4 linked regions of the Drosophila melanogaster genome follow. The protein of the gene in region 4 interacts with the protein of the main gene of each other region in a pairwise test. Each region holds a gene or a part of one and is shown on either strand. Other genes may lie near its edges.

Region 1 (7,240 bases), on a different chromosome or scaffold from region 4:
TTAAGGTCCTGCCGAAACGAACTGAAATTGCAGCGAGTGGAGAAGGAGGAGGAGTAGCTGCTGACCACAGGGATTGTTTGGCTGCTTTTGGTGCCAGGCCAGGGCGTTAATTTGGCTGGCAAATGTCAAATGGCGAGCGCTCGGACACAGGGCGTCGTTAGCACCCACGCCATGTCCTGGCAAATGGCGATATGTCCGGCGGTCTCTTGCCTTGACATGAAATTTTAATACCGCCTTTAAATTTAAGTAGCCTGTGGGGTTTTTTTTTGCATTCGGCTTGGCAGCATTTCAATTGGATTCCCGCCGACCGTCTCGTTTCTCTTATTTATATTTTTATATCCTTGGGAAATGTGTGTATTCAGTTCGGTTCAGTTCGGTTCAGGAGGCCAAATGTCGCTCGATAAATTTCTGTGGGTTTTCCATTTCGCCAGTCTCGCATTTATTTATTTATTTTGAGGCCATTGCTTTGATTTTATTATGTTTGCCGTCTCCAGGTGAGCGGAAAAAAAGGAAAATCTCGGCCGGACTTTGATTTCCACTGCTCGTTGGACCCTGGCTCAAATGTAATATTTATATTATATATTTTGAATAGAACTCGTAATACCTATTTGCATATAGAGGGCATATTTCAATCAGGCCAAGACCATGCGACATGTGCAAATATTTAATTCTTAACTTTTGTTTGTGTGCCTAATGATGACCCGAATGACCCAACTGGCTAGCAATCAAGAGTTAGCTGTTATTGTTGGTGAGTAAATTGTGTCAAGCGGCGTTAGGAATGCATTGCGTACTTTTACTTTGTCCAGCTTGTTTGCCAAGCAATTTGGGCGCAAGATGAAATAGTTAGTTACTCGTACTCATACGCCTCCCTTCGTATTTGTTTTCATTTTATTTTGGCATAATTTTAGCAACAAAGGCAAGGGCACACGCATACAGACACATTCGCAGAGAGCAAGTGCAAATAGTGTAAATGTCCTTGAAAGCGCCAACAACTTTGGCCCTGGCGAAGGCAGAGAAAAAATCAGAAAAGGAGCGAGGAAACGCATGTACAGGTGGGGATTTGAGGGGCTTAACTAATGGGTGGAGATGCATTCGCTTATTTCTCCGGCATAGCCTACTTTTTTGGGCAGCCCTTAATCGAATATTGACCGATTTTTGGGCTAAATCACCAAACCCCATTGCCTTCGTGAGCAACTCAATATGCATGACAGCGAAAATTGAATAAATTAATTCATTGAAAATTATAGAGATTTGACGCTGATTGGCGAGCGAGGAAATGAAAAGGACAGTGGCAGGGGCACAGGCACAGGCGTAAAGACAGGCAACAAGCCAGCACACACGTTTTCTGAATGCACAATTATTAAATAGGCTGACAAAAGGACAACAAGGGGGCGGGTCGGGTCGTGGAGTAGCAAATCCTCTAGAGCGGGCGCCATCGTCGTTTCTACTCGTTGTGGCCTCATCACATGTGCACATTTCGCAGAGAGAAGCATAGAGCGTCCTTTCGCACGGCTCTCTCGTATCGATCCGCAAAACGAGCAAAAGTCAACTGGAAACTGGAAAGCAACCACCAAAAGGAACACATCCTGCCTCCGAGCCAGCCCCCTTCCGAATGCTCCACCTCTACCCATCGGCATTGGTGACAGTATTTCGCACACAGCAAGATGGTCAAAAAACCAGAGTGTACGAGTGGTGAAAGCGGACGAGGGCGCCGCCAGCTCGAATGACTCAACATTTTGTGGTTATGCAGGAGCCACGTGCAAATTATTTTCATTGGAACGTACAGAAAACAAAAAGAGTAAAATAAAGACGAGATACAAAGAACAACACGAAGGTGGTCCAACTCGTCAATGTCAATTGATAGTGAAAGGACTTGCGGGGCAGAAGGAGAACGGCGGCCCGTTGAAAAGGCGTGACACATCACGGACTTGGGTTTCAAAGACAACAACGACGACGACGACCACGACGACACCAGCTGTTGGCAGCTGGTTGGAAAAACGTGCCCCGGATTGACATCCTGGCATCCAGCGCACACTCGCACAATTAAATATTAATGAGCTGAATTAAGTGAAAAACAACGTTAGTTGACTTTGGCTGATCTTCCGGATTAGCCAGCAACTTGTGGCATTAACGGGCCATCACAGCGGTCTTAACTTGTCCAAAATATCAGCCGAATAATTGGAATTTACTTTCATTTATTTCGAGGAAATGAAGGCTGAAACGGCAGTAACACTCTTGTGGGATAAAGCAAACTCAACATAACTAGGGTGTGGAATGCCTGCTAGAGATTGATGAAGTACCCAGAAGAAGCGCGAAGGACGAGGTCAAATGATACGGCGAGGTCGAAAAGAAATAGGGCAGTCCTATCCACTCAGTTTGAGGGAAGTAAAAGAAAAGAAACCAGTCGGAAGTTAGTAAGCATGGAGTTGCTCTTTTCCGTTTGCTGACAGTTCAAGGAATTTCCTTTGGTCAACAAAATTAGGGCAAATAAATTCGCTTGGAGAATTACACTACTGACAGTCTACCATACTAAGTAATACATATATGCCAAGCTGAGAGACTCTTTTGAAGACTGATTTATGCTATATTCTATAACGATTCAAATATTTCAACAATTAAAAAGAAATACAGTCTTCACAATGCGATTTGCCATTTCAAGAATAATCAAACGAAATCCATTTAAACCACAAATTGGCCTGGCATTTTCAAATCGAAATTGCTAGCCAGAAATGTTCAGGAAAGTCAGTCGACTAGCTTCGCAAGGAAGCGGAGCCATATAGGATATATATGGGAGTGAAATTATCGGGCATTTGGATTCCAGTTTAAGCAATTATGTTCAGTCACGTGAGAGCGTGCGGAATGCAACGTAAAATGCAGGATAAGCGGAGTGTGTCAAAACAATGATGAATGTACCGTAAAGGAGCGATTGCTGGAGGGTAGGAACTCCACGGAGCGAAATGTTAAAAGGTACAAATAGCAAGGTCACATTGGCACGCCATGTCAGGTCGACTGAAGTCTGGATTTCGGAGTCACAGTCACGGAAGACTAGAAAGATGGGCCGAAGGATTACCCAGCGCGCATTGTTCGATTCACACTTACCTTTTGCCAGCTTCCTCGCCCTCGAGTCCTTCGCCACCGGCTGCGGCAGCTGCCTCCGGGTCCACGGCGGAGGAGGCCGTGGCCTCCACGGATGTGGATGCTGCTGGAGCGGCTGCGGGCGCATCTCCTGTGGGCGCGGGCACATCCTCGTCGCCAGCGCCTCCTTTAACGGCGCCCACCAGCGAGGTGAATTGATTTGTTAGGCCCGAAAACATGTTGGCTCCTGCTGTTTCTCTCAAGGATTGGTGGTGTGTCCTGACCAGGAAGACGTGCGCACGTTCAACGCTCTCTAGGCTCTCTTGTTCTCGCGGTTCTCACGGTTTTCCACTGCTCTCCCGCTCCTGGCTCTCCAACTTTTACTACACTGGGCAGAGGCAGATAGAATGTCCTGTAATGGGTTTTCCTTTCTTTCAGTGTTTCGTTCGCACCACAGAAGTTTCACTTTCAACGCTCGGCGTTATGTAAATTCTCGCATTTAACTTGAAATTTGAATTTTTCACGCTGCAATTGCTTTGTCCAGATGGCCGAGATGGAAGGTAAAAGAATGGTTTTTATTGCTACTTGGCGAGGCGGTGGGGAAAATCAATAAAACGGACTGGGAATTGCGTGGCTATTGGGCACAATTACACGATAAATACTCTGCGATTCGATCGATTTTCCACATGGACACACGCCACGCTCGAGTTTCTTTTCTTTTTGGGTTTATAGCTATTCGCTATTTGCACAACTAAAGTAATTTGAGTCGCAGCCAATTACCACTTGAGCTTTTCTCTGCCAACTGGATTTTGCTTTTCTTATTTTTTTTCTCTTTGGTTTTCCGTTCGCTGCCAGGAGACTTTTGGATTTTCGGCTGCCCACTTCGAAGGTCCTCTGAAAACTGACGGAGCAGCGGAATGTCGATGTCTCAAATACCGAGCTGGAGTGTCGTCTTCGCTCTCTTGGACTCGGGGATTGGGGATTCTCAGATTCGGATTCTCGTATGCGTACGTTCGCTTTCTCCCTGGAAAAGTGGAGTCCACCCCCTCCTCCGCGTTGCTGGGGCGATGGTATTGCGATTTTCGTGGGTGGGATATTTGTGCGCTGGAATGCGCATGTGTGCTTTGGCGTCGTTTTGCTGCTGCTGGCGCAATTAGACAAACAATTGACACGTCTATGGAAACAACAACTGCGCACCAGTAATGATTATTTTCGGTTTGTTCTCGGCCAGTGCTGCCCATCGAACAGCTGACTGCTGTCGGTCGATAGCTCTACCGATATGTTCGCGCATCTCTGGCTTCTGCAACAGCTGATTTTAAAATTTCCAAGTTCCTATTGCGAAAGTTTGGAAGCCCATTGCAGCATTAGTTTATTTACATCAGCATAATTTTAGCTATAGCTAGATCAAGACATGGAACTTTGTTGATACTTAAAATATTTTTATTTTCAAACCCCAAGAAGCGTGATCTTAAAATCGATCCGATTCTAGTTACCTGGCCTGAGAGTAAAATATTTATACCTAACCGCCTGAGCTAATCCGTGTTAGTTTACAAGAATTCCATTACATTTGTGTTCCTGGAAAGTCGAGCTCTTCTCAGAAAGTGTTTACACTTGTCTTCATGTTCGTAAATCTCTATTTACAGCAACAGACTTTCATTTTTTGTACTTAACACGTAGTTTTTAAATCAATTATCAGCTAATTAGTTCGATTGGGACAACAAGGATACTCAGCGTCGCTGCCGCGATCTGCTCTGAGACTCCTCCGCCGTATCTTGCGCTGCTTCCGTATTTGACGACCTCGGCTGCTCATGGGCCTTAATCTCATGGTCCAGCCGCTCTTTCGCCCGGAAAACCTTTGACTGGATATAGAAGGAGCCGCCTTTGGAGCGTTCGTTGACTTGAAACAGATGCTCGTAGTTCTTGGTGATAGCGTCCACGTTTTTGGGGTCATCTATATTCAGGATCTGCTTGGCTTCCTCCAGCGTCATGCCTGCATTGATAAGTAGGTGTAAATAGTGAAATAGATAGCATGACTGTGTCCAAGACTCACCTGTGCGCAGGTTGGACTCGGCGCTCTTGTCGCCCTGCTTGCCACCACCCGCCCGTCGTGCTGCTTCCTGAGATGCGGCGATCTCCTGGCGCAGCGCCTTGGTAAAGGCTCTTCCCACTGCCTGGGCGCCCAACACGATGATCTGGGCGATATACTTGGCCATGACGGTTTCTTGTATTCCTTGGATTCGTACGTCAAAACACCGGCATTCTATGTGTACAGCTTAATTTTGGGTCTCAGAAAACGTGTCGCTTTAATTACGCAACACCGTAGTGACCCTCCGTGTTCCAATTGTACTATTTAAAAGGCGTCCTTCTAAAAAAATGCATACGTAACTTTTAACACTTAATTTCGAATGTGATTTATAATTGTATTGAGCTACCAGGTAAATTTTAGCTTTTACTCCAGATATTTACTAACGAGCAGGCGGCGAAAAGCAGGTGAAACAGCTGATTGGAGATGGTACACGGCTTTCATAATTAGCTATCGATATATATAATAGCTATATCATCGAGAATCGAAATATTTTTAAAACCAATTATTTAAATATTTTTACCACGACTACTTTGTCATCGATAGCATTTGTCAGTTATCGTTTTTAAAAATTCGAAATTCCCTAGTTAAGCCAATGATTCAGGAACCGAACTGGAAAAAGGACTACGACCGTCTGGTCCGCGAGCATTTGAATGATCAGAATCAGACGAAGTCGCTACAACGACAAATACGGCATTTTCGCTCAAAGCGCGTACGACTCCAGAATGAAATCGAGGCGGAGAGCAGGAGCATGGACGTTTGGGTAAAGATGATGGAGAACTTGCACCGCGGAGTGGAGCGCTTTCAGAAGCACCACCACCTGCTCACGCCCAAAAAGCGCAAGCAGCTGCGCCGCATAATGCGAAAGCTGCCCTTGAGCAGTTTGGATGAGCAGGTGCGACTGATGGAGGTGTCGGAGCGGTTGGTGCCCAAGCCGTGCAAGGAGACTCCTGAACCACCGAAGGGCAACGAACGCCAGTTCATCAAGTACTCAGTTCCGCATCAGAAAAAGAACTGTGATCCTAATAATCAATCCCCCGTGGACAAACGGCTGGCCAGGATATATGCCAATCTGAAGGCTCTGCTAAAAATCCACGAGCAGACCTCGTCCGTCATCGCTGATATACATTCCCTGATCGCCACTATTAACTATTTGGAGCGGGGGCACTGCACCAAGATAAAGATCACTCCAGCGGAGGGCTCCAGGCCGTCAATAAAGGCTACCATCGAATTGGATCGGCTGCGCAAGACCAAGCACGGCAACCACTACACGCGGGAAATTATGGACGTACGTCCTCCGTACATCCTTGACCATGTGCCGCAATTGAAACCAAACATTTTCGACGCTCTGGGGAGAAAGGCGAAAAAATCAAAATCCAAGCACTGAACCGTTTCTGGTGGGGAAAATAATTTATTACTCCAAGAATTAGTCTACTTAGACATAGTCTACTGAACATGCTCTATGCTACGCTAGTTCTGTCCTGCGTCAGTTTGATATATACAATTTACAATAATCTCATTTAGCTCGGGCAAAGTGGTGGCTGATTACAGAGAACAATTTAAATTATATCCAAACCAATAGATTATATCGGTTAATCATTGAACTAAGACTTGGGGACTTGAGGACCCAAAAGTCCGTGTATGGCTAAAATTTGCCTGCCACTTCATCAACTATTTTGTTTTTCAAGAGTTTTCTTTGCCCATAAATTCCCTTTATATCTGTGCTCATATGGCCTGCCTCTGTGCTTTGTGGTGTCTACCGCCGGCTATGGAACATCTCAACAGAATCCCGGATTTGTGTGTTCGATGATGCAGCGCTTGCAGTACTTCTTGACCGCCCGGTAGCCCTCGATGGAAACCGGACAGTCCTGGATATTCAGTTGCTGGAGACCGCGACAATAATATGCGATACACTGCACCCCGCGGTCCGTGATCATGTCGCAGCTGCGCAGGCTGAGCTTCTTCAGGTTCGGACAGCTCTCGGCCAGAGCTCGAAGCCCCGCGTCGCTCACATCGCACTTCCCGATGTCCAAGGCTCGCAGACGTGGACAGGATCTCGCCAGGACCGTAATGGAGTCATCG
Region 2 (6,950 bases), about 14 Mb from region 4:
TTCTGTCCCATTCCGTCCATCCGCATCCGTATATCTGTGTATCTGTATCTGCCTACTTCTCGGGGCTTCCGCTCATATCGGGCATATGAAATCGAGAGCATTCACTTCCGCCCATTTATCCCCCCCCCCCCCCCTACTACACGTCTGCCCCCCACGGACACAATTGAAATTGAATAAAATGACTTTTCAAATTATTTGCGATACAACAAGAAACAGGGCTGGCGGAGTACGGGCACATGGTGGTGGCACCAGAAGTGCTTATCTATTGGAAAATGTTAACTGTATGAAAGCCATAAACTGTAGATATGCAAAGCTACCGCCATTCCAGCGGAAGAAGGCTGAGAATACGTAAAAACAAATAACAATTTTGCGCTCAAAATAGAACACAAACAACACAAAAGGCGCAAGGGATGGCTCCGTCTTTCCCGGGGAAGGTGGTTAGTTCCGAATGGAATGGAGCCTACAGCCAATCCCATTCACATGTCCTGGGGAAGGATTCAGTGGGCGCGGTAGTGGGGAAGGAGCAGCCAAGTATCGATTTATGCATATTAAATTACACGCACTGCCTTTACAATTCTTGCTTGAGTTCGTATGCGTGCACTGAAACAAATTGTTGTTAACTTCCATTCAATATATTTACTAGTTTTAACTTTTAGGGAAAGCGACCAAAAATAAAATTAATAAGAAACGCAACGAAATTAGGTAATATACTATACATAATATTGCTCTCGAAGAACTGGAAGTAATTTACATTCATACATGCACAAGTATATTACTCATACGCAGTGTTGCGCTGCATTATATATTACGACTTAATATTGGACTTTTCGGTGTACTCCAGAGACGCCCGGTGCTCCGTCGGAGCAATTTATATTTCCTTATTGGCCTGTGCGTGTGTATTTCTGACATCTCAGTTGAATCGCCCTGGCCTCGCCCCCTATTTCGTTTTTTTCCGCCATCATTACCATTGGGATTCCACACTAGCGCCCAATTTATAAACGTTTGGCTGTTTGCCTTATCTGGAGCTGCTCCCGGGATCCTTTTGCCTCTCCGCCGGCAGGACACTTGGAGAAAAAGGCGGAACGAAGGACAAGGAATGCCCCGGCCAAGGCAGAAATTTATATCAAATTGAAAATTCTTCCTCCGCAGACGGAAAAATCCATTTATGCGCTCTCAGTAGTGAGCCAACATCGCCTACCTCCCACCTCACCTCATCTCATCTCCTCTCATCCGTTCCGAATCCGAATTCCAACCCGCGGAGTGCATATTTTAGAGGAACTTACGGGCGGAATTACTTTCGTTCGCGCAGGGCGGGAATCGGAAAACTATTCAGGCAATCAGAAGTTGACTTTGTGGCATAAGCGGTGCTCATAACTCACCCAATCCCCGCCCGGCATATGGAAACGAGCAAGTCGCATGGGGAGACTCGGGAAAACGTTCAATTTTCAATGAGCACTTTTCGCTGCAAAGTAGATGGGTGGGTGGTGCTTGGATGGTGCGATGGGCGGCGCCAAGGCTGCTCCTCGCTGGATGAGGCAGTGCCTGCCCTGCAATATTAATGCTGGCCAGGAGCAACGCCCAGAGCGTTAAGAGTGTCAAGCCAAATGACTGACCAGCGGAGACTTCCCAGATGAGGACACTTGGGCCACCACTCGAATCGCACTCTTAATTATTCTGGTCACATCTGTTATGTAAACTGCGACCCATCCGGCCATAAAAGTCCTGCTCCCAAGAATGGCAAAGGCGGCGCCCAAAAGACAGAGACCCAAACTTGGACGGGCTGCAAAAATTAAAAACGAAAGCCACGCACTTGGTTGCTGAAACGGACCAGTGGAGGCTGGAACCTGTTTGGGCATTTTCAAGCCCGTGGCCTCCAAGGCTGAGGACCCGGGACCCATAAATAAGCAGCCGCTTTTCCTGCAGCTCCGAAAGGCAGAGCCTTAATTTTTAAAATACCCGACCCTCGGCTGGCCCATATAACACCTTTGTATATTGGACGAGAACGTGGCCACAGTGGTCTATTGATAATTCGGAACTGAATGGATATAGTTATTATAGTAAATCTTATATCTTATTCAATTCTTTAAAAAAAATGTGTCATACACTTTTTTTACTTATATGGTATAAAACTATACTATAAGCAACTATAAGCAAGTATTTCTAGGTACCACTGTACTATCAACTATCATAGGTTTTTTTCGAGCCACTGCAATCCTCACCTCTGGGCAGCTCAGGTTGCTTTTCCACTTACCTTTTGCTGGGACTTTCCTGCGGGCGACGGCCCTTAACTTTTTTTCATTGTGCTTGATCCGCAATTTCATCAGTCGCGTCCCCTCCTCCAATCCAGCCACCCATTCTGCGCCTGGGAAATCTGCGCGGGTCACCCAAAAACGTATTTTTAATTAATGTTGACCGCAATTTGTGCCTGGTCCTCCGGCAGCAGCTGCTCTTCTCGGTTTCCCGCTTGTTATCATGTCCTGCCTATCAGGCAGGCCCTTTGGGTCGTCACCAGCCAGTTCTTGGGTTATTAAGATATTCATAATAAGAGCCTCCGCGGGGCCAACGACCAAGTGCTAGCATGGATTAGAGCGCCAACAACCAGTTTACCAGTTGGCCACGGAAGCCGTTGCGCGCCTTAGTCGGCGGTCAATGAAACCAATTAACTGTACTCGAAGTGGACTTGGCTTAGCTTGGCCAAGTAGGTCTGCTCGACCATCCGCGGCGTACTAGCCAGCCAGTCCCCTTGTTTCCCTTGGGCAGAAGAGTAGACCGCAAGGGTCTGGTATCGCTGGCAGATGGAATATCAATTACCTGCTGCTGTCGCCCGCTTCCTGGTGGCGAGACAGAACCAGAAACAGAGCAGAAAAACTAACTGAGATCTCGGAGAGGCCAACTAATTGCAGTATAAGAGCTTCCTAAAACCGCAGAAACTCGTTCTTCGGAGACCACAAACGAAAACAGATGACAGGAAAACAGAAACATACACGGTGTAAATAGGCTGTGCCTTGGCAGCAAATGCAATACATTTCGATTAGATGTGGTTTCACAAAATGTACATATATTTACTTAGATGGTTAACCATGGTTTTGTCGATAGAAAGACCAGCCTGGACCGTCGACGGATGATCATAGTCTACTTCAACTTCTTCTTGGGGCGCAGGTTGTTGGTGTGTCCGCACTTCTTCTTGCGGCAGTTGGTGGCACGAGGATGCAGACGGGCGTAGCACTTGCGGCAGATCATCTTGTCGCAGTTGTACTTCTGGGCCAGAATCCTGAGCGAGGGCTCAATGATACCACCACGCAGGCGGAGCACCAAGTGCAGGGTGGACTCCTTCTGAATGTTGTAGTCGGACAGAGTGCGGCCATCCTCCAGCTGCTTGCCGGCGAAGATCAGACGCTGCTGATCTGGGGGAATGCCCTCCTTATCCTGGATCTTAGCCTTGACATTCTCGATGGTGTCAGAAGGCTCCACCTCCAAGGTGATGGTCTTGCCGGTGAGGGTTTTCACGAAGATCTGCATAATGGCGGCGTCACTGAAAGCAATATAAAACATAAATCAGTACCAAATCGTACGATTTCTTAGCGAACTTGTGCGTCCCAAAGAGCGGGCAAAGATTGGAGGTTAGGTCCGACTTGCTGGCATGTTTCGTTCGACAGAAACAGCTCCACCGGTCGACAAGCACCAGTGTCCATCTTTTTCATATCACAAATACGTCACTAAACAACAATATGTTTACATTCTGCCACGTTATTGCGATTTTTCGTTTATTTTTAATATATTTAATGGAAACTCACCAGAGGAAACGTGCAACCAAATGCTATTCAAAAGAAAAAGGGAAAAGAGAGTGTGGCCGCCGCCGAGCACTGCAAATATACCAAAATACTATTTTTTAAATACCAAAACATTCTAAATGGAACTGTAAAAAATATTCAGACACTCAAATTAATTAATGCAAAATATCTTTACCATTTGAACCGAGACCAACTTTACAATATCAACATATAGTTTTTCGTGTTTTTTTATAGCCCAACGCTACCTCACTGATAGCTAAGCTAATTCAAAATTATATTATTATGGCATGAAAATGCTATTTGCATTGTATACAAATAAATTGAAATCAAAACTTGTATATAGAATTATATTTTAGATAAGGTTCAAATATTACATATTACGCATATTTTTTTTTATTGAAAAACCGCCTAATCGATTTAAATTATATTTTTAATGAATTTATGAAATATTTTTTCAGATATTAAACCTTTTGAATTTATACAAAAATATTCAAGTTGCTGTCCATTTTACTAAGAACAATAATTGAATACTAGGTTGTATAAGTATAAGTAAGTAAGTAAGTATAAGTAAGTAAGGGATATACATTTAAGCCAACGATATTCTAAAAATGTGTATTGCTAAATATGTCACATATAATAAATAAATTTGTATTTGACTTAGTGAAAAAAGTATGTCTTTATAGTGAGAACACCGTGCTTTTCCATTCTGCGTCAAATCGATAGATTCTGAAAAATACCCCTTTCGATATCGAAGTTCTAATGGCTCGATAGGTCCTCAACACTTACCTATCGATGACAGTAGCACAAGTTGTGCGGAAAACGGGAAACTAAGGGAAAAGCGTGGAAAACCCTTGAGAACAGAGCATGTCGAAAGCAGGCGAAGATCAGCCCGCAGCAGAGGGTGCGGTAAGTATCTGAGAAACTTAAACCTTTCTCAACCCCAATCACCTGACAATAGCGACCTGGTTCTCATCGTTTTTTCTAGGTGATTGCGGGCAATGGTAACGCTGAGCTGGCCCAAAATGAAGGCCAGAATGAGCAACAACAACCCCCGCCGAATCAGCCCACCCGCATGGAGTCCTTCTTTGCGATGACCAAGTCCCTCATCCTGCGTGCCCTGATCATCTACTTTGTGAGCTCCTTTTTCCGACGACCTGCGCCCGATGCCGCCAGTCAAGGCAAAAGTGTCGCTAATGCGGGTCCCAAGATCACGGCCTGGAATTACTTCGAGAACGGCACGGACTTTGACCTGCACGTGTGGTTGTCGGAGAATCCCGATGTGGTTAACTTCCAGCAAAAGGCGAATCTCCTCTGGCTACAGAAGGACCTCACCTATGGCGATTGGACGTCGGGCGTCAACGGAGATGGCATTTACACGCACAGTTTGAAGCTTAAGACCAGCCAGCATCTGATGAACAATGGCAGTGTGTACCTACATGCCTTTGTCACGCGTACCGGCATGAGTCCCGATCCCAAAGCCCCGAATTACGCCACCAAAATGGGCCACCAGCAACATCAGCTGAACAAGTTCAAGAAGTTGCGTGTGAACCGCAACTACAACTTGCTGGCCAGCGAGAAGGAGAAGTTGGAGCACGAGCTCAAGCATGCGAATCTCAAGGATACCATCGTGTCTCACTGGCATCCTAATCTCACGGTCAATCTCGTAGTGGACCAAACTAACTGGGCCGAGGGATCTGTGCCGCCGCCACTGGATGACTACGTAAAGTTCGTAGACGGCGGTAAGACCTATCTGCCCATCCTGTTCGTCAACGACTACTGGAATCTTCAGCGGGAGTATCAACCCATTAATGAGACCACTCCCGAACTGGAGCTGCACCTCACTTTCCAGCCGCTGGGCATGTTCAAGTGGCAGCTGTATGCCGCCAAACAGATGAAGAACAAGTGGGCTGGCAATATGCTCGGTGAGCTGATGGCCGCCAGCCAGCCGGAGGAGAGTGACGAGGATCAGGACTCGCTGAAGGAGACTCTGCTGGACACCAATATCTACCTGCTGGGCATCACAGTGGCCGTTTCCATACTGCATTCGGTGTTCGAACTGCTGGCCTTCAAGAACGACATTCAGTTCTGGAACAATCGCAAGTCGCTCGAAGGACTGTCTGTACGATCGGTGTTCTTCGGTGTCTTCCAGTCACTAATCATCCTGCTGTACGTGCTGGACAACGAGACCAACTTCATGATTCGCATCTCCTGTTTCGTGGGACTGGGAATCGAGGTGTGGAAGATTCACAAGGTCGTGGATATCAACTACGATCACGATCAAAAGATTCTGGGAGTGCTGCCGAGAATCAGTTTCCAGGACAAGGGCTCCTATTCGGAGAGCTCGACCAAAGACTATGACAAACTGGCCTTCAAGTACCTGGGCTGGGCATGCTTCCCGCTCCTGGTGGCCTACTTTGTCTACTCGTTGATCTACAACGAGCACAAGGGCTGGTACTCATTTGTGCTCAACATGCTGTACGGCTATCTGCTGACCTTTGGCTTCATCCTGATGACGCCGCAGCTATTCATCAACTACAAGCTAAAGTCGGTGGCCCACATGCCGTGGCGCATGATGACCTACAAGTTCCTCAACACCTTTATCGATGACATCTTTGCGTTTGTGATCAAAATGCCCACAATGTACCGGTTGGGTTGCTTCCGCGACGACATCATCTTCTTTGTGTTCCTCTACCAGCGCTGGCAGTATCGCGTCGATTTGAAGCGCGTGAATGAGTTCGGCTTCTCCGGGGAGATGGAGCAGCAGCATGCCGCCCAGAAGCTGGAGGGCAAGACAGCCAATGGAGCCATCGAAGGTCCCCAGGCTGCGCCAGCGATCAAAAAGACAGCTGCACAAAAGAAGCAGGATTAGAAGGAGTGCAGAGCTGTGACCACAGTATGCATTAGCATTAGAAGACGCAATACCATATACTCCACTCCCCCAATATGTATGTAATCACTATCCAGTATACATAGTCAAGTAATCCCGATAGAATCATTCTTAGGGCTAATTGTATGTACGTATGTTTGTGTTTTTGTTTTCCCCTGCCCTCCGCGCTTCTCGCAGCGTTGGAAGATCTAATAAATTAAGCGTGAGATGATCCATATGCCACTGCTATTATCTAATCTGCAGCCCGCTGAGTGGGCTAGACAAATGGGTAG
Region 3 (8,871 bases), on a different chromosome or scaffold from region 4:
ACAAGGACCAGGTGGAGGACAAAAATTTCATCTACCTCACATGCGATCTACCTCCGCCGCCGCTGTTCACCGACGAGTTTCGCGAGAACATCATACCGCAGGTGAACTTATATCAGCTGCTGAGCAAGTTCAATGGCACTGCCGAAAAGGAGTACAAGACCTACAAGGCTAACTTTATGAAGCGCTTCGAGATCACCCGCCTGCCGCAGTTCATCATTCTGTACATCAAGCGATTTACCAAGAACACATTCTTCCTGGAAAAGAATCCCACCATTGTGAACTTTCCCATCAAGTGAGTGTCAAAACGCGAATTATTACAATATTAATTGCAACTGGATTTCATTTTCAGGCACGTGGACTTTGGCGACATTCTGGGCATGCGGCAGCGCGACAAGGATGTCAAGGATACGAAATACAATCTGGTGGCCAATATTGTGCACGACGGCGATCCCAAGAAGGGCACCTATCGTGCCCACATCCTGCACAAGGCCAACGGTCAGTGGTACGAGATGCAGGATCTGCATGTCACCGAGATACTGCCGCAGATGATCACGCTCACCGAGTCCTACATCCAAATCTACGAGCGCTGTCCAAACTCCTCGTGATCCACCTGACTTTTAATAACTCCTAACTATATTTCGGTTAACAAACTCCATGATAAAAAATAAAATATGCTGTAGTCGAGTGTAGCGACTATGAGTGGCCCTTGAATAGGAGAAATGTAGACAAGTGTGTTTCATTGTAGAAGAACAGTGCTGGTTTTGATCTTTAATCTAACTCTAACTTAGACTTAAGAATCATCGTTTGTTAAAGCTTTAAGCCTCAGCATCAGCTGTGGCCCAAAACAGCTGGAACAGCGCATGCGTTGTGCCCACTCCATGCACAACCAAGTGGGTGGATTGGGGCCACGACCAGCAAAAATCGATGGCATCGCCAGTCGTTGGGTGATAGAGTGTTCGGAAGCATGTCGTCGGAGCAGCCGGAGAACACCAGCTACGAGCAGGAATGCCAACGGGCGGAGCTGCTGGGCCTCCAGCCACCGGATCCCGCGGAGTTCGAGCGCAAACGGCAGGCACGACTGGAGCACGAGTTGGCCGAGCAAGAGGCCGCCGAGGCGGTGGTATGTTATGACCTCTAACCATACGAATCGCCACTAAAATTCGCTCTCCAGCTGCTGGAGCAACAAGACGAGAGTCTGGGCAATGTGGGCGGCAAGCTGGGCGAGCTCAATAGCATCCTGTCCAGCACGCAGCAGAAGCTGAATCGCTTCAAGCAAACGGCATGTGGCAGTTTGACCAACATATTTGCCCGGGCCAGCTCGGGCTCGGTGGATCTTTCGGCGGGCATTGGTAGATCGGGCTCAATCGCCTCCACCCAGGAGGAGCGTCCTCCTGTCCAGGAACAGCCACTGGCCAAGCCTCCGCCGACGGCTGCCGAGGTCAGCGCCGCCAAGGCGGCCAAGCAGAAGCGCATGGACTCGCAGCTGGACAAGCTGGATGCGCTGATCAACCAGGCGGACAACGCTCAGATAGCCATGAGTGAGCAGACACAGCAGATGCGCCGCCTGGCCAAGTGAAGTGCCCCCTTGAGCAGGTGATCATCCATTGCTGACCCGCGAAGCCCACAAAGAAACAGGCGTTTGCTTCATGAAATGAATGTGTATATGATTCCAACTTTATTTATCCTCACTCCTCAGGTGATCCTTGTCGCCTGATCCCGGGCAGCCTTCTTCTCCTCTTCTTTATTTGGATGAACACATGAGTTTCGCTTAAAACTAAACACAAGTTGAGATTACCCAAAGCGTCTTCAATCACATTTATCGAGTGTGCAGACAGTGCGAGTCATGCATGACTGTCTGTAGTACCGTCTTACAGTCACGGCGCGCACTGCTCCGCCTTACATTCATCCCATTTTGACTTTAAATATATACATATAAATAGTTGTTTTCCATATACTTTACATCAGAGTTTTGAAATTACAATTTTTCTCGGCTATTCGTTGACATGCGTAGTTGCGAACAGAATTACAAATGTTGGACAATAATAGTTGTGTGTAAATGTTTACGCAGCTAAATCATAGTTCATACATATTCTGTTTTAATCTTGTTTCTGGAAACATATTGAAGTATATTAGTATATATTTATAATATATGTTTTTCGTAAGCAATAACTTTTCTTTTTTCGTTTAGTCCATTTTTTGTTTTTTTTTTTGTTTTGGTAAGTCACATTTTGGAAAACTTGTTAATTCAGTTCTTTGAAAATATATTAAAATTGAATATTTTCAATATTTCAATTTTACTTTTAAACTATTACTCTACTCTCATTTTTTTCTCGTTAACTTAAGTGAATTAATAGGGAACGTCAAAGTGTAAGCAAAAGCAAACAATCTTCTTACTTTTCTTCAAAACATGTGCAGTGCGTTTCGCAGCTGTAAGGCCAAGACATTGGCACTTACAGTCACGGAACGCACTGCATTTGTGCTAGTACATACATATATATAGAAGTCGTTTATCCAGCTAATACTTGTTGCAAAACGTTTGTTAAACTATATATAATATACATATATATATATAACGATCGAGTCAAGCAATAAAATCAAAATTTTCTTCACAAAACAATAAATAGTCTTTGGCGTTATCAATTCCGCGTACTGTTAATTCATTCTAAGCGAATGTATAACGATAAACAAAAGCAAAGGATGTGAGGATTTGAATCAAAGGCATAGTAAAGTATTTTGGATGGAATTGATTATCAATCAAGGGCTAACTTTAAAAAAAAAATATCTTTGACAAATTATTGGGCCAAGTCCGTCTTTGTATAGTGAAAACAAGTAACATAGTTTCCGACATACAAGCTATGCTTGATTTTTGAATCGGATTGGGTCACTACTTGTCCTCCGGCGAGGCGGAGGTGGCCATTTTGGCGAAAGACCGCGGCGGAGTGGGGCTGCGTTTCTGCAGGGTACGCATGCCGAGCGAGTAAGCCGCCGTGTCCCCCGAAGCGGTGTCCGTATCCGAGTACTCGTCATCGCTCTCGCTGGCATGTCCTGCATCCGTCTCGTACGGATCCACCTCCTTCTGATACACGTTGCTCATTTGATCCGTAAACACATCCGAAGCGACGACCCCGCCGTCGTGTTGATCCTCGTTCTCATAAAAGAAGTACGACAACTGCAGGTGCTCCTCCGCACAGTTCGTGCTCAAGGCGTCCGGAATCAAGTGGCCATTCGTCTCGAGGCGCTTCTGAATCTTTAGGAACATGTTCGGTGATACATCCATTTGGGGCAGCGTCTGCTGCGCCTGCCACTTCTCCAGCAGCGGCGGATTGGCTCCAAAAACGCCGTAGTACAGCTTGCAGGCGCGAAAGCAGCGTAGTCGGTTCGAATTTGGGCGAATGCGACGCAGCACACGCAGCTGTGACTCCACCACGTGCAAAAACATGTATTGCTGATTTCGGTTGGGCAGCGAGGTGACCAGCACCGCACGACTGGTGTTCAAACAGAGCTGAGGCAACGGTTGAGGCCACAGCGAGTGCAGCAGACGCTTGAAAAGCTGCGTTAGCGTGGAGTTTTGGAAGAAGTGGCGATCGGGGGCATTTGTCGCCGCTCCTGCGGGACGCCAACGTACTGCATCAGCCCAGATGCGAGCGGCGGCGCCATCGAACATGGTCAGCCCCAAATAACGCATGCAGCGCTGGCAGTACAAGTGATCGTCGCGATTGAGCATGCACGAACTTTCTTCGTTAAAGTTGATGACCACATAGTTGAGGCCATAGAAAAGATCCGTTTCGGCGGGCACTAAGCTAATTGGTTGGGTCTTGCCCGCTGGTCCATGATTGTGGCAAAAGAACTCAGTGGGATCCACCAAGAGGCTGGGAAACTCCCTCAACCTGCGATAGCTTCGGCCTGCCACCAATTCCGCTCGGCAATCACGACAGTTGATAGTGATGGGCTCGTTCTCCTGGCAGGAGAGGAGTAGTGGCGCCAGAGGCACGTCCACAGCGCTTCCATCCACGCTGGCCAGATCAATCTGGTTGTAGTTGAAGCGGAAACTGATGTTCCTGCCACTGACCAAGAACGTGGACAGGCAGACAATGTCCATACCATACTGCGCGTGCCGGATGAGCATCAGCTTGTCGGAGTCCTCGCTGTCGCTTTCGGAGCTGGAATCCAAGTCGATTGCCTGATTCTTAGGTTTCTCGCTGATATAAACATTGTAGTCGCGGACGACGACGCGAGTCTTCTGGCTCTGCGAAACCTGTTGGTCGAATCGCAGGAAGACCACGCCGCTGCGTAGGTTCGGGCGCAGTTCGATGCACAGCCCGGCGATGGGCATCTTGACCAGTTCCTGGGAAAGCGCGAGAAGATTGTGAACACCACCAACAAAATGGGCCTATCGTTACTTATGGTTTTTCGATATTAAGAGCGTCACTCGACAAAAACTATCGATTGTCAAGAATGAATGTCAGTGTGACCGTCATTTGAAAACTGGGAAATCGTACGCGGAAAACCGATACTATTGACCTTATCGAATATTCAGCCGAAAATGATCGAAAACCCATATCGAGTGTGTGAGCACTATCGCTGACCACTAACACCAACAACGTTTAGGAGCAAAAGAGTCGACGATGCGATGGGTAAAAACAAAGCCCCGTGTAAAAGTGTCCGAAAACCGTGCGTAGCATCAAACAAATCGTAACTCGGCCAGCGAATCTAGGTGCCGTTGTTTTCGGGGACGCGTGTGCAGTGCCGTTTTAAGTGTCGGTAATCGCCAAAATCCACAAAAAATTTAAGGATTTTTTAAAAAAACGTTCGCTAAACGCATTTCGTTCGTTCACTCACACACACACGTAAACCTAACACACGCACAGACGCAGACAAACACAACGCGCAGCGCATATACACACACAAAGAAAAGAAGGCAGTGAAAATCGACAAGCGCACGCATGCACACACACACTGACAAGCACGCAGGCGAAAAAGTGTTGATATATATCCAATATATTGATGTTGTGTGCAACGTTGTTGTTGCTGCTGCTACTGCTGTGTGAGTGAGTGAGGGCGAGCGAGAAAGAGTGAGTGCGGTGCGCGCAGGATAAAGCGAAGATGAGCCACAAAGCGAAGGAGTGAAAAAATAATTAACGGCAAAGCGGACTGCAAAGCGCAGAGCGGATAAAAGAGGAGCGTTAACAACAATAACAACGACTGGGGGTCCCCTGCAAAATCAACAACAACAGCAAGAACCACATCAACAATAATAACAGAAGCAAGAACATCAACAACAAGAACTACAACTACAAATTGGCCCTCTTATTTCGGCAGTCGCATAGCATAGCCCCATCTCGCTCTCTCGTTCGTTGGGGGATACGAAAAAGTTCACATGCAACAACAACGACAACAAACAATAGCAGTCGCAGTCGACGCGGGCAGAGGCAGCGACAGAGACCGCGGCGCACTGAACGTATTTTGTACATATAAACAAAAATAGTTTTTAAACTCCCCAAAATCTAAATCTAAACCTAAAGTTAAGTCTAAAAGGGAAACTTAGAGCCCTAAGCATAAATCTACAGTTAATAAGTTAATTAAAAGCAAGCGAGTCCGGCAGTGTGCTTGAGTTTGAAAGGGGAGAACCGAAGGAGAGGAACACAGCGAGAGAGAAAAGAGGAAGAGAAGAACGCTCAAGAGAAATTCGCCTTTTACACGATTTTAAATTGAGCGTTTGGCAGAGATCCATTATACATATACATCCATCCAAAAAGAGAGGAGAGTAACAGTGAGAGAGACGGAGGAAGAGGAAGCTGAGGAAAACAAACAAACGGGGGAGCAGCTGAAGAAGAAGAACAAGAATCAGCTTCAGCAGTAGAAGGAGCAACTGTAAACACACACAATCTCAGCCTCACGCTGGCGAATCGCAACGGCGGCAACAACAACAGAGGAGGAGGAGGCGGCGGTAACAACAACAACAATGGAGGAGGCGGAGGAGCGGCTGCAGTCGGCGCTGGCGCCGAAGGAGCAGCAGGAGGCGGCGCAGGAGCCGGAGCGGCGGGCAGAGACGCTGCAGGAGCAGCGGCCAACGAATGGAATCCGGAGGAAATGGACCGCTTCAGCTTCGACGACTCCATCCGCTTCGAGGAAGACTCCCTCTGCAGCTGGAGCTCTGAACCGGAATCGCTGTGCAACAACTGGCGCGGCTGGAAGAAGCCCGCTGCAGGCAGCGGCGCAGGCAATGGCGGCTTGAGCGGCATGGGCGGTATGGCTGTGGCCGGCGGCTCAGGAGCACCGCCGTTCGGAGGAGCAGGAGCCTCTGGTTCCTGCACACCGGGCGGCAATGGAACGGCCATGGCCAACACATCCACCTGCGGCAGACATTATGGTGAGTAGCATCTCCTTGTTGCTAGGGCGGGATTTAGGGCAGTGTACCCGGACCATTGAGCATTACACCAGTGAAACTACAGTTGTGAAAATCACAGATACAAATCTAAACTGAAGAGAGCTTCTTAAAATCCGAAAAACATTGTACAACATTGACAGTTTTTAGAGTTCGAAAAGTGTGCGTCCTAAAGATATCAAAAAAGTATCCTCTTTTATTCAGGAATTAAGAAAGACTTTCTCATAAGAAGCTTTCATATGTCGCATACAAAAGATATTGACTTCCTTAATTGTTTTTAAAACCATAAGGCAACCAAAATAGTTTATACCTATAACTTTCCCTTTACAATGAGAAACTTACATGTACATTTTATACAGATTTATATCCGTATAGCGTTAAATAATCAATTACTTGCTACACAATTTACTTTTTAAGCTAAGTAGAGTGATATGCTTTAGTTCTATGTTTTACTAGCTTGGTCGCATTTGGCTATTTGCAATATGGCTACACTGTGCTGCCTGTAATTATACGCATGACCTTTTCGCTTTTGGTAAATTCTGTAAAATTGACTTAGGCACAACAACGAGCAGGCTGTAATTGTTGTTGCCCTCTGTCTGCAATTGTCTTCTTCGTTTCCCCGCATTTCCTCGAAGTCCTCTGCTTATCGCTGAAGTCAAAATCACGACTTTGGCTGCCAACGTTTTTTATTTTCATTCGTTTATACGAGTTTCCTTTTTACCTTTTTGTTGCGTCCCTTTGTCTTTCCCTGTGGCTCATTACGCTTGTGCATGTGGCTGGGGTATTGTTTTTTTTTTTTGTTTCGGGCCTGCCAAGAGACGTTCCTTACACGTTTTCTGTATCCTGTGCGCCGCCGCACAGCACTATCATCATGTAATATCTGGATATCTGGCTGCGACTGCGCAGTTCGTCCTCGTCGCTGTTTCTCTTTCGTATCCTCCATTCGTCTTCGTCATTTGCCCATCCACTGCATTCGTTTGCTTATTTTCCTTTGTTTGACTGAGCAGTGTTGCTGTGGGGGGAAACAGGACTATATTTGGAAGGGTCAAAGGACTAAACAGAGCGGCAAAGCCGCCAAAGAACCTCCAACCATTCAGTTGTCTTCTTTGTGGATTCTTTGATAGCCAGGGTTACCAGCTTGTTGATTTTATTGATATTTATTGATACTAAGCACTAGTATTACAAAATATAGTATATGTACTAGGCAAAACTAGCTGAACTTTGCTCAATCTTAATCATTTTTATCTTTCTGTTATGTTATACAAATCTTTTACTTCCTATAAACAGAGGAGTTAGCCAAATATCTATTTGTTCATATGCTGTTGGTTTGTAAACCTAAAGGACCAATAGATAGTAGCTTAAGCTATTCGATTTTGGCGGGAAAATAGCCAAAGAGCTAGCCCTGCGACTGGGTTTGTGTGTGTGTAGTGGCGAAGCCAGCTGCATTTTCATGCTCGAAAGACATAATAACCGCATCAAAAAACTATATTGCCTCAAAACGATGTCGCTGCTGCCAGCTGAACACGCTGACGTCGACTTCGACGTCGATGCTGAGGCGACGAGAGCCTCGCTTTGTTGTGTCAAAGAACCTTTTCAAGGATACCACCACAACCTGCCCAAGGGGATGTAATAAAAATAAAGACGAGGACGACGACGACGACGACACGGAGGAGAGTCCATTATTCCCATCGCACCTTGTAGCTCCTCCGCCCCGTTTGCTGTGGCTCCCCAGATATGGTAGTTCTTCAGATAGTTGAAACGGAAGAAGCCCATTGATTTGATCCACAATTGTCAACGGCTTCTGATGCGATTGAAGGCTTATGTATATACATCATAAGAATTCTGTGCGTTCGAGCATTTAACATGCCATAATTGAAATGTTTTAAGCCAAGCTATGGTGCGCAACCAGGGGGTTCTATTTATTTTTAACTAGCATCTTACTTACTTAATTTGAAGGCATGATTTACCATTAAACAGAACATTGGAAAACGAACATCAGTTAACGCAAGTTGCATTTGTCTGAATGTAAGGTTTGGTGACCTCAATCGATAATTATACTGATAAATTCCTTGTCCGTTGTGTGTAAAAGCCAAATGGAAATGGCCTTTATACCGAATTGCACAAAACCCAAGTGTATTTGATTGAAAATAGAGTATGGTGACCCCGATCGATATATATTTAATTAACGTACTGATTGCTTCCCTGCCTGATTTAATTAAACGGCAAATGGCAATTTGCGTGTTGTCAAATTGCAATTGACTTTAAACAACATTAAACAACATTTCATTAGGAACATTACTTAGCTAAATATATAGACTATGGTGACCCCGATTTGTTACTATTCCGCAAGTTTTCTTTTAAGGAAAAGAGAATACCATTTTAAAATAAAAAACAAACTTTAGCAATTAAGCTAAGTATAGTTTTGAAGTGGCCCCAATTTTATAATCCTACTTTTGAGAGCTGGCATCCAGGGGATGACAGGAACA
Region 4 (8,223 bases):
AGAAAGCCCAAAAAGAACCGAAGCTCCGGGAACAGAAGTAGTGGGGAAAAAGGCAAAGCTGCAAAAATGAACCAGGAGTCCTTTGGAGATGTGCTGAACACACAACCTTGTTGTGTGTTGCTAATATCTTCAAACATCTTGAGCTAAACCCATTTAGCTCATCATCTCCTGGGCATCGAACCGTCATATTGTAACATTATATTTCAAAAAAATTAATAATAATAATAAATAAATAAAATGAATATCTATAAATAATAAAAACAATAATAATATATATTAACCTCAAATTACCAGCTCTTTTCTATTTTAGCACAAAATAACTGTGGATAAAAAATACAGATAAAATTAATTCATTTTCTTATGATCTATCTAAAATGAAGTCAAATAAATTTAAACCAGCATTCTTGATTTAAATGTCAACAAAATAACACATAAGCGTACATACGCATTTTCTTCATTCAAATTTCAAGCACGAAACGTGTTGTTCTGGTCAAACATTTGTTTAAATTTCTCATTTTTCTCTTCCATTTCCGGTGAGTTTCGAAAGAGAAAATGTGGGAGATGTATTTATAAAATAAGATTTGCAGACTTCTTTCGAGTGCTGAAAATGGTTTACTTAAGTCGTCCTTGGACTCCGGCCATAAACCCTTTCTACATTGGCCCCTATCCGAGATGCGCAGTATGTCCGTGCAACTTCGACATTTACAAAGGATACACCCCCGGTGGCTGGCACAGTCGTTGCTATAGCAGCTATTGACGAGACGAGTACCTGTATAAAATGCAAGAATAACGGCGGGAACAAATATAGTTGAACTTTGAAACTGCACACCAATTAGCCTCGCACACATCTATGTAGAGAAATAATAAAATTGATTCATCGTCACCAAACTGTTGAATATTGCTGGGGAAATAATATAAATATTCCAATCGAAATGGCTTAGATTTCAAATTAGAACTCCTGGGAATTTTAGTTTATCAGGTCGCAAATTGTGTGAAAATAGTTTTCTAAATTCAAAATTCAAGTCTCTTGGTCATGTCCTCGTCTGTGGATCACGTGGTACACCACGTACTGGCCCCAATGGCAATCAACGTCCTCGATCGCGTGGTGCCAGTAATCCGCCAATTGGTGATCATCATGCATCAGGCATTTCTGGTTGATCACCATGTGTCGGAGCCCGTGATCGATGTATCCGGCATGATTCAGCCCGTTCGTAAAATAGTCTTGATTGTAAACGATTCAACGCCGGAGCACCATGTCGACCAGGAGCAGGTGGTCAGTTCGGATGACATTAACTACCTGATAAATGAAATTTCGCGAAGTATCCGAAACTTGGCCCGTTCGACCTATAATACCATCTCGGCGATGGCTGGAGAGTAGCCCTAGAATTATTTGTCATCGTGGTCGATCGAAAAATCCGACATCGACCCTCCTGATCCTCCAGAAGATCCTGCTCCTTTGCCCAAGATATGGAAATGGTTCACACGGCCATCGGAGTTGCGGGCATAGTGGCCCTGTTTATGGTAGTTTCCCGTTCGTTAACTGAAGTGGGTGGCAGGGTGTTAAACCAAACCCGTGATCCGATCGCTGACCTTGTGAGGCGCGGTGGTCCAGTGGCGGATCAGCTGTCCGCCGTCGAGGGCGAAACTCCTCTAGTAGAGGGCGATCGCATGGATGGCGCCTGCTCCGTGGTACAAAGTATTGGAGGCAAGGCATGTGCCTTTGTAGGACCATTGCTTCCTAAGTTTGGCAGTGAACATAATTCCGAGGGCTCCTCCAAGGAAGACGAAAAGGATAAAAAGGACTCGGAACCGGTAGTAGTAAAACCTGAAACACCGCCAGCGGCAGAATTAACCGAAGAGGAGTAGGATCTAGTCAGCAACTATGTCGAATAGAAAGCAAAAAAAAGGAAATTTTTAGTTTTCTCTAGTTGGCCTTGGAAATAAACTTCACTCATCTTGTGGGCTTTGTGGGATTCGAAACCTAGAGAGCTCATTCATTTTGAACAGCTTGGACTGAACACATCTCTTTCGTAAAATAAAACACAAAAAAAAACAATATGAAAAATTGAACAAAAATTCTAAATTCGTAGCCAAGGATTAACTTCAACGTATTTCTTCAGCAGGAAAAAAAATCCCAGGTACGTTCTAGTTCGTTAAAATTGAATAAAAAAGTTATACAATTTAAAAATTGTAAAATTGCTTTGTTCCCTATAGTAATTTTTAAATATTTGGTAATGTTTTGTTAATAACAAACCCCGTTTTGAATGGTTGCAGCCGTACCTTTTGAGCCCCTCCTGCAGATTTTAGAAGAGATTCCAGTGTCCTTTACCAAATCCAAACTTTCAAGATGGTTCTGATGCTTTGCTGCAGCTTCGATCCCTTCTACGTTGGACCCTGCCCACCCGGCTGCCTGGCTCCTTTGATGGGAGGAACTCCCTATTGCGGATGTGGTCCCTGTGGAGGTTGCTGTAGTCCTTGCTGTGGTCCATGTGGTCCTTGTGGTGGCTGCAGCTCGTGTCCTTGCGGCTGGTGAAGCGCCCGCTATCATAGGCATTAATACGGCAGCAAGCGGTAACAAGTCAATTTAAAGATCAACCTTCTGGAAAAGACTGCTGGAGAAATATGTTGCTGTTCGAATTCCTTTTTGCCTTGGCCGGGGCTAAACCAACTAAGCTCTCGTATACATAAAGAATTTTTATTATAAGCTGTTCAGTAATAAAATGAATTAAAGTACAAAAGGAACTGCTTTGTGATATATCTCAACACCGAATAGATCCAACCTGGCAAGTGGATTACGTCAATGTAAACGTGGATGGCCAGCCTCCAGTTAAGGATGCAAATGTTGTCCTAGGTCTTGCCTAGAACAGCTGTTTGGGGCATCAGGTTTATTGCGCAGTCGCGATTCGAACGCGCAACTCGAACAAAAACATAGAATGTAGAGCATTGTGTCAGGTCAAAGGTTGTTGGGGTAGGGATGGAACACCCCCTTCTATTATTCAATCTTTGAATGAAAATGAAACTGAATCTCCAATGCCTCCTGATGCCATGTTGTGTTTTGGATAAGCGCGATTTACAGGGCCGTGTCTGAGGTGTCCCTGAGTTTTTCTGAGGTGGTGATTCCACTTCATTTACATTCATGTGTGTGTGTGAGCTGGCCATTTCACTCTTATTTTGGCATCACTTGCTTTGTTTTTCCGCGGAATTTATTGCGGTAGGTCGGAATTTTCATTGCTTGCCTTCCATTTTTCCGGGGTTTCCTGCAAGTATGCGAGTGTGTCCTTGCGCCATGTTTTATGGCCAAAGTTGTCTGTCTTGTATTTGAGTTTTAGTTTCTCAGCTGAAAGTTTTCGATTGCATTGTGTTTCTTGAGTATGTTGCCTGGGATAAGATTTTGTTTGCGTTGTTATAATGGAGCAACAGTTTCTTTAGGTGTGAATATTGTGTTACGGTCTTTCGAAAGTATATGCCACAAGTCTATTTGTGGTATTTAAAACCGTGGTATTTTTAGTTTAGTATGCTTTCTGCCATATCACGTCTTACAAGAAAATACGATGGAATTCGGGCTCATCCACTCCGCACAATGGGCATACCCTGCCAGTGTCGACAGCTCTCTTAATGCACGCTTTGCAGAAAACGTGGCCACAATTGGTGGACACTGGTAGCTTCTCGCGGACATCTTCCAGGCACACAGGGCAGTTGTAGGGCAAGACAGATTTCTTGGACTCCTCGTCATCTGATTTGATCCGTTTGTTGGGAGGAGAATCCTCGTTTGAATCTGAGGATTCTGTATGTCCCATTGGTGTTGATGATTCGGTGGAGCTCATACTGCTATCGAAGCTAATGCTGGTCGATGAGCTTTCACTATCACTGGAACTAGACGACTCTGAGTCGCTGGAATACTCCAACTGCACAACAAAGTTAAAGCTATTAAAACCTATGGATTCCGGATCGAGATGAACGAACAAGAACTTACCAGGAATGGGGTTCTGTCGATAGATCTGCTGCTGCTTGAGGAGTCCGAGTCTCCGTAATACTCATTTGGATTCCGCTCCTATTAAATGATGTTGTAATGTAACCAATGGATTCTGGGTGGGACCTGGCTAGAACAATAACTTACAGAGGAACCGCTGAGTAAGCGGGATCTTAATCCGGAGGGCGCGAGTACGGGAGTGGGCCCGGTGTTATGGATTCGCTGTGATACTCCAGAATTATTCGAGGTCCTGAAGTTTTCCATTTGAAGTCCCACCTATTCCATAAAGTGTATTATCAATAGATTTCAGAGCTGGGTGAACATGAACTTACCAGGTAACTGAGGCGAGAGCTCAAATGTGAACGGTTTCTGGAAAAGGGTAAGGAAATAACCCTAGTGTTCTGCTCCCATTCAGTAGAAGAGTCTGAGTCGCTGGAATCACCCATTTGAAATCGCACCTGTTTTTGCAGTTTTAATACTACCAATGAATTCTGCCTTGGAACTTACAACTTTTTACAAATTCAGTTGAACCCGTTTCCTTGCTTTTTATTTGCAAATTTACAAGAAAGCTGTTTGAACATATGTCAAAAAATCTTGAAAGTTCCAGGACACAATACCAGTATTTTAAGTGCCAAAGGTCACACTGCGATAAAAAGTACCATTTCAACGCGCCAACAATCATTGTCCGATTTCCATGATTTCCAAATTGGATATTTGCTTAGGATTGTCACCCTAAGAAGTACTATTTATACCAGGTACTCGTGGAGTAAAAGGGTACACTAGATTCGTTGAAACAAATAGAAGGAATTTCCATTTAATTAAGATACAAAACCGAGTAGATCTGGCTATGTTCGCCTGTCTTGCCGGCCGTATGAAAGAATCATAGGAACTATAAAAGCAAGAAGGTTGTGATTAAGCGGACAGATTCTAGAGACATAGACGCAGCACAGATTTTTTGGCCCTGTTGCCACGCCCACTCTAACGACAAACCGCCCAAATCAAATTTGTTTATAATTTTATTAGTCTTGTTAATTCTTATCGATTAGACACAAAACTTTTTGCCATGCCCACTCTAACGCCCAGACTTTAGAACAATTTTTAAATGTTTTCACATTCATCGATATCCCAGAAAAATGATCGAATTTCGCGTTCGTATTCCCACTAGCTGAGTAAGGGGCATCTAAAAGTTAGGGAACTCGACTATAGCATTCTCTCATGTTTGTATCTTAAATGGTTAACATAAAATTAAAAAATATGCTAACAGAAGTAACTCCCTACAACGAAAGAAATTCAAAGATCGAAAGTCCGGACTCAACAACATAGAATTCCCGAAGTCACACACGAACTTGCAACATGTTGCAAGTGCCGCTCGGACTGTCTCGAGCCGTTGGAAGCTCCAGCCGCGTTCTCGACTTCCGATTTAACTTTCAGCGCGCTTTCGGCCGACTTCAGTGTACGTTTGGCTCGCGCAGAGTGCGGATTGCAGTTCGATTCGGCTTAATCAGCCCAGTGATTTTAGCGTATTTCATCCGTAGGATTGCTCTGCCGCAGATCTGGCCGATAAGACTTGGCAACACATCAGGACCCAATCCTGGAGGCCCTAACCGTAATTAAATTATCGGGCGAGTTAATTGGCAGCCCGAGAGTTGCGAAAGTCGTAATGACGGTGCCATTCATCTGGCATTTAGCTTGATTCCCGTTCGCCGATCGCTTTGCCGTGCTAAAGTCTGTAATATTTGGTTAGTGCGGGTTGCCAAAAAGTTAAACAGAACAGAAAGTACGGTTCATTTGCTAAATACACGGGACCATTCAAATATCCCGACACAATTTAAGAGTGTGTGTGGGCGTGTGTTTGTGTATGTGCGCTCAGTGAGTGAGATGTGTGGCAAGTTTCATTTATTGGCAGCCAGCAACTGATTTGAATATTCACTCGCACACTCATACCCGAAAGGATCTGCGCTGCCAAAATACTAGACCAGATTGTGGCTCCTGTGTCGCCCGTGCATAAGTGTGTGTGCAGTATGATTTATAGGTCCTGCAGCAGGCGTGATGTAAAGTGACAATTTCTGGTAATTTTCGATTTACATGCCGTTGTGCATTGGGTAAGTTTGACGAAGGATCCCTGGATTTTGTTTACTTTGTTTTTATAACATTACCTGGAATTAATTTTATGCGTAATTTATTGCTGCGAAAAAGAGAAGAAAGAGGTCAAACCTGATTCAGTACCTTCCATAATAATAACTTTATAATATATCATTTGATAATAAATTTCAAACTGTTATTTTTGGGAAGAAAAGGGTTGGATGGGGCAGACTTATTATATTTATTTTTAAATTTCCACGTGTCATGTTAAAAAACTATGGATGGAAAACCATATTTATTTGCTCAAAATGAATAAATTTACCTTATCTTATCCTTGTCTATTTTTTTTTTGTATTTAATTTCCATATTTAAAGTTATAAAAATATGATCTAAATGTTAATAAATATGAATTTACATGATTCTATACAGTTCTACCAAAGTACAACTACCAAAAGCATTTTATAAATCGATTGAAAAACGTTCCCATTGGCCACGCATATTGTTGTTTATCTTTATATTTCCAAGGCACACGAGTAGTTACCTCTGAGCTAAGATTGATTTACACCTGCTCGGATGTCTTGCCAATCAGAAACCGCAAGACAAACACTACCTGCGCACTCGCGAACATATCAGATCGCGTATACTTCCGCTCTTAGAGGGTTTCGCTTAAAACGGTTTCCGCGAAAAAATTAACTTTCCTAGAATCTGAAAATACGTCCCTGAATAGCTGAGTAGAATAAATCAATGAGTAATTACAGAAGTGTTATTGATTTTGGGCTCCTTTCTCTCGAGCATAAATTAGAGCCAATAAATATCGCGACATTAGGGAAATTTTATCGGTTTCGGATGGCCGAAGATTATATTAATGGGTGCCATTAATATTTAATCCTCGACAACAGGTTTCACCAGCGTTAAGGACACAGAGAACGCCAAAGAAATAAAACCATCCATCCCATTATTTGGCAGAAGGAGAATTGGAAACTTTTGCAAACAGCACCTGTGTCTAAGGAATTTTTAATAAAATCTCCTGAAAAAGTGGTAAACTCAACAAAGCCATTCGTCATGCTCAAGTAACTTGGGTTTTAGACTTTTGGGGTTTTTCCCTTTCGCATGCTTTTTCTTGCTGGTCAGCGAACCAGTTTGGCATCATAATTATGCAACCAGGCATGCAGCTGAGGACACTGTCGGCTGCCAAAGGGTTGAAAGGAACCCTTTCTTTCTTTATACATTTAAATTTGGGTCACTTACGGCCGAAGCAAATTGTAATTAAAATATGAATTTTCCATGCAGCCATATAACAATTCACTTTTAATTTTAATCATTAAATCCCAAAAAAAAAAAAAAAACACTTTTATTTTGAACAAAGCGCAACTCTTTTTTCACTTTTGCGACGGCCTTGACGGACTTAAAGAGTCCTGACTGTGGAAAATAATCATCATCAGCCGCAGGATTTCAAACCACCATCATTATCGTCTGCTGGTCTGGTTTGCATAATTTCATACATAAACTGTCGCTTTTTGTGCGCATAATCTGCAGCTTTTAAACAAAAAAAAAAAAAAAATAGGCAAAAAATATTAAATAAAACGCAGTGTCGGCGGAAAGGTGTCATATACTCCAAAAATTGGGTGTTCTAAATGTTCGAGAAATGAAGCGCTGAAAAGTTGGTCGCGTTACGCATCCGCCATGTTGCGCGGCGCCAAGTGGTGAGGATTACGCCGGGGTTCCCATATACTTAATGACATGCAGCTGCTGTTTTACTTGCGGTTTCTCCCTGGAGCCCCCAGGAACCTTTAGTAAATTTTGCTGTCTTGTCCCCCTCCGGACTAACTTATGAATTTTAAGGTGATTTCCATGTCGCAGGACCAAGTTCAGGAAACTTTGGATTGGGGGTCCTTTGGGAATATGGGATGAGTGCCACGTCACATCGGGGACTTGTCAGCAAAGGGTTGATCGCATCATAAATCAAACGAACTGTTAGCCCAGTTCGCAATCAAAATCATTCTGCGGTCTGCAGCATTTGTTCCTCAGAATGTGGTAATTAATCATCGAAAGTAATTGGTTTTCTGTTTTGATTTGACATTTGAAAAATTGCAGCTGTGACAATTCAATCCCAGTTCCAGTTTATTTGCCTAGCGCCATTTACTTCGCTGGTTTTTCAGTGCAAAATGCTG

Evidence for each region.
Region 1: the proteins of elfless (region 4) and CG5478 interact in a two-hybrid assay, tested with the Drosophila melanogaster proteins (one large-scale study listed by BioGRID).
Region 2: the proteins of elfless (region 4) and RpL40 interact in a two-hybrid assay, tested with the Drosophila melanogaster proteins (one large-scale study listed by BioGRID).
Region 3: the proteins of elfless (region 4) and Dora interact in a two-hybrid assay, tested with the Drosophila melanogaster proteins (one large-scale study listed by BioGRID).

What each region holds. Positions count from the first base shown.
Region 1 is NT_033777.3:15,932,200-15,939,439, reverse strand, and holds CG5478 (uncharacterized protein), read left to right. Parts: upstream 1-5,705; 5' UTR 5,706-5,753; coding exon 5,754-6,545; 3' UTR 6,546-6,740; downstream 6,741-7,240. Other genes in the region: Sap47 (Synapse-associated protein 47kD), read right to left, coding at 3,100-3,314; blp (black pearl), read right to left, coding at 4,803-5,065, 5,126-5,288; Fbxl7 (F-box and leucine-rich repeat protein 7), read right to left, coding at 6,937-7,240.
Region 2 is NT_033779.5:4,224,594-4,231,543, reverse strand, and holds RpL40 (ribosomal protein L40), read right to left. Parts: upstream 3,846-6,950; 5' UTR 3,737-3,845; intron 3,533-3,736; 5' UTR 3,520-3,532; coding exon 3,133-3,519; 3' UTR 2,983-3,132; downstream 1-2,982. Other genes in the region: CG3702 (uncharacterized protein), read left to right, coding at 4,656-4,697, 4,777-6,660.
Region 3 is NC_004354.4:18,859,350-18,868,220, forward strand, and holds the start of Dora (dorado), read left to right. Parts: upstream 1-4,600; 5' UTR 4,601-6,090; coding exon 6,091-6,370; intron 6,371-8,871. Other genes in the region: Usp39 (ubiquitin specific protease 39), read left to right, coding at 1-292, 350-605; CG32544 (uncharacterized protein), read left to right, coding at 965-1,120, 1,172-1,576; CG7326 (uncharacterized protein), read right to left, coding at 2,885-4,333. UniProt on the Drosophila melanogaster protein: Substrate recognition component of a SCF-like E3 ubiquitin-protein ligase complex that promotes target-directed microRNA degradation (TDMD), a process that mediates degradation of microRNAs (miRNAs).
Region 4 is NT_033779.5:18,006,961-18,015,183, forward strand, and holds elfless (elfless), read right to left. Parts: upstream 4,516-8,223; 5' UTR 4,417-4,515; coding exon 4,303-4,416; intron 4,247-4,302; coding exon 4,118-4,246; intron 4,052-4,117; coding exon 3,974-4,051; intron 3,906-3,973; coding exon 3,537-3,905; 3' UTR 2,683-3,536; downstream 1-2,682. Other genes in the region: CG5693 (uncharacterized protein), read left to right, coding at 1-41; CG42659 (uncharacterized protein), read left to right, coding at 608-757; CG42634 (uncharacterized protein), read left to right, coding at 1,034-1,378; CG42635 (uncharacterized protein), read left to right, coding at 1,468-1,866; CG31740 (uncharacterized protein), read left to right, coding at 2,348-2,533.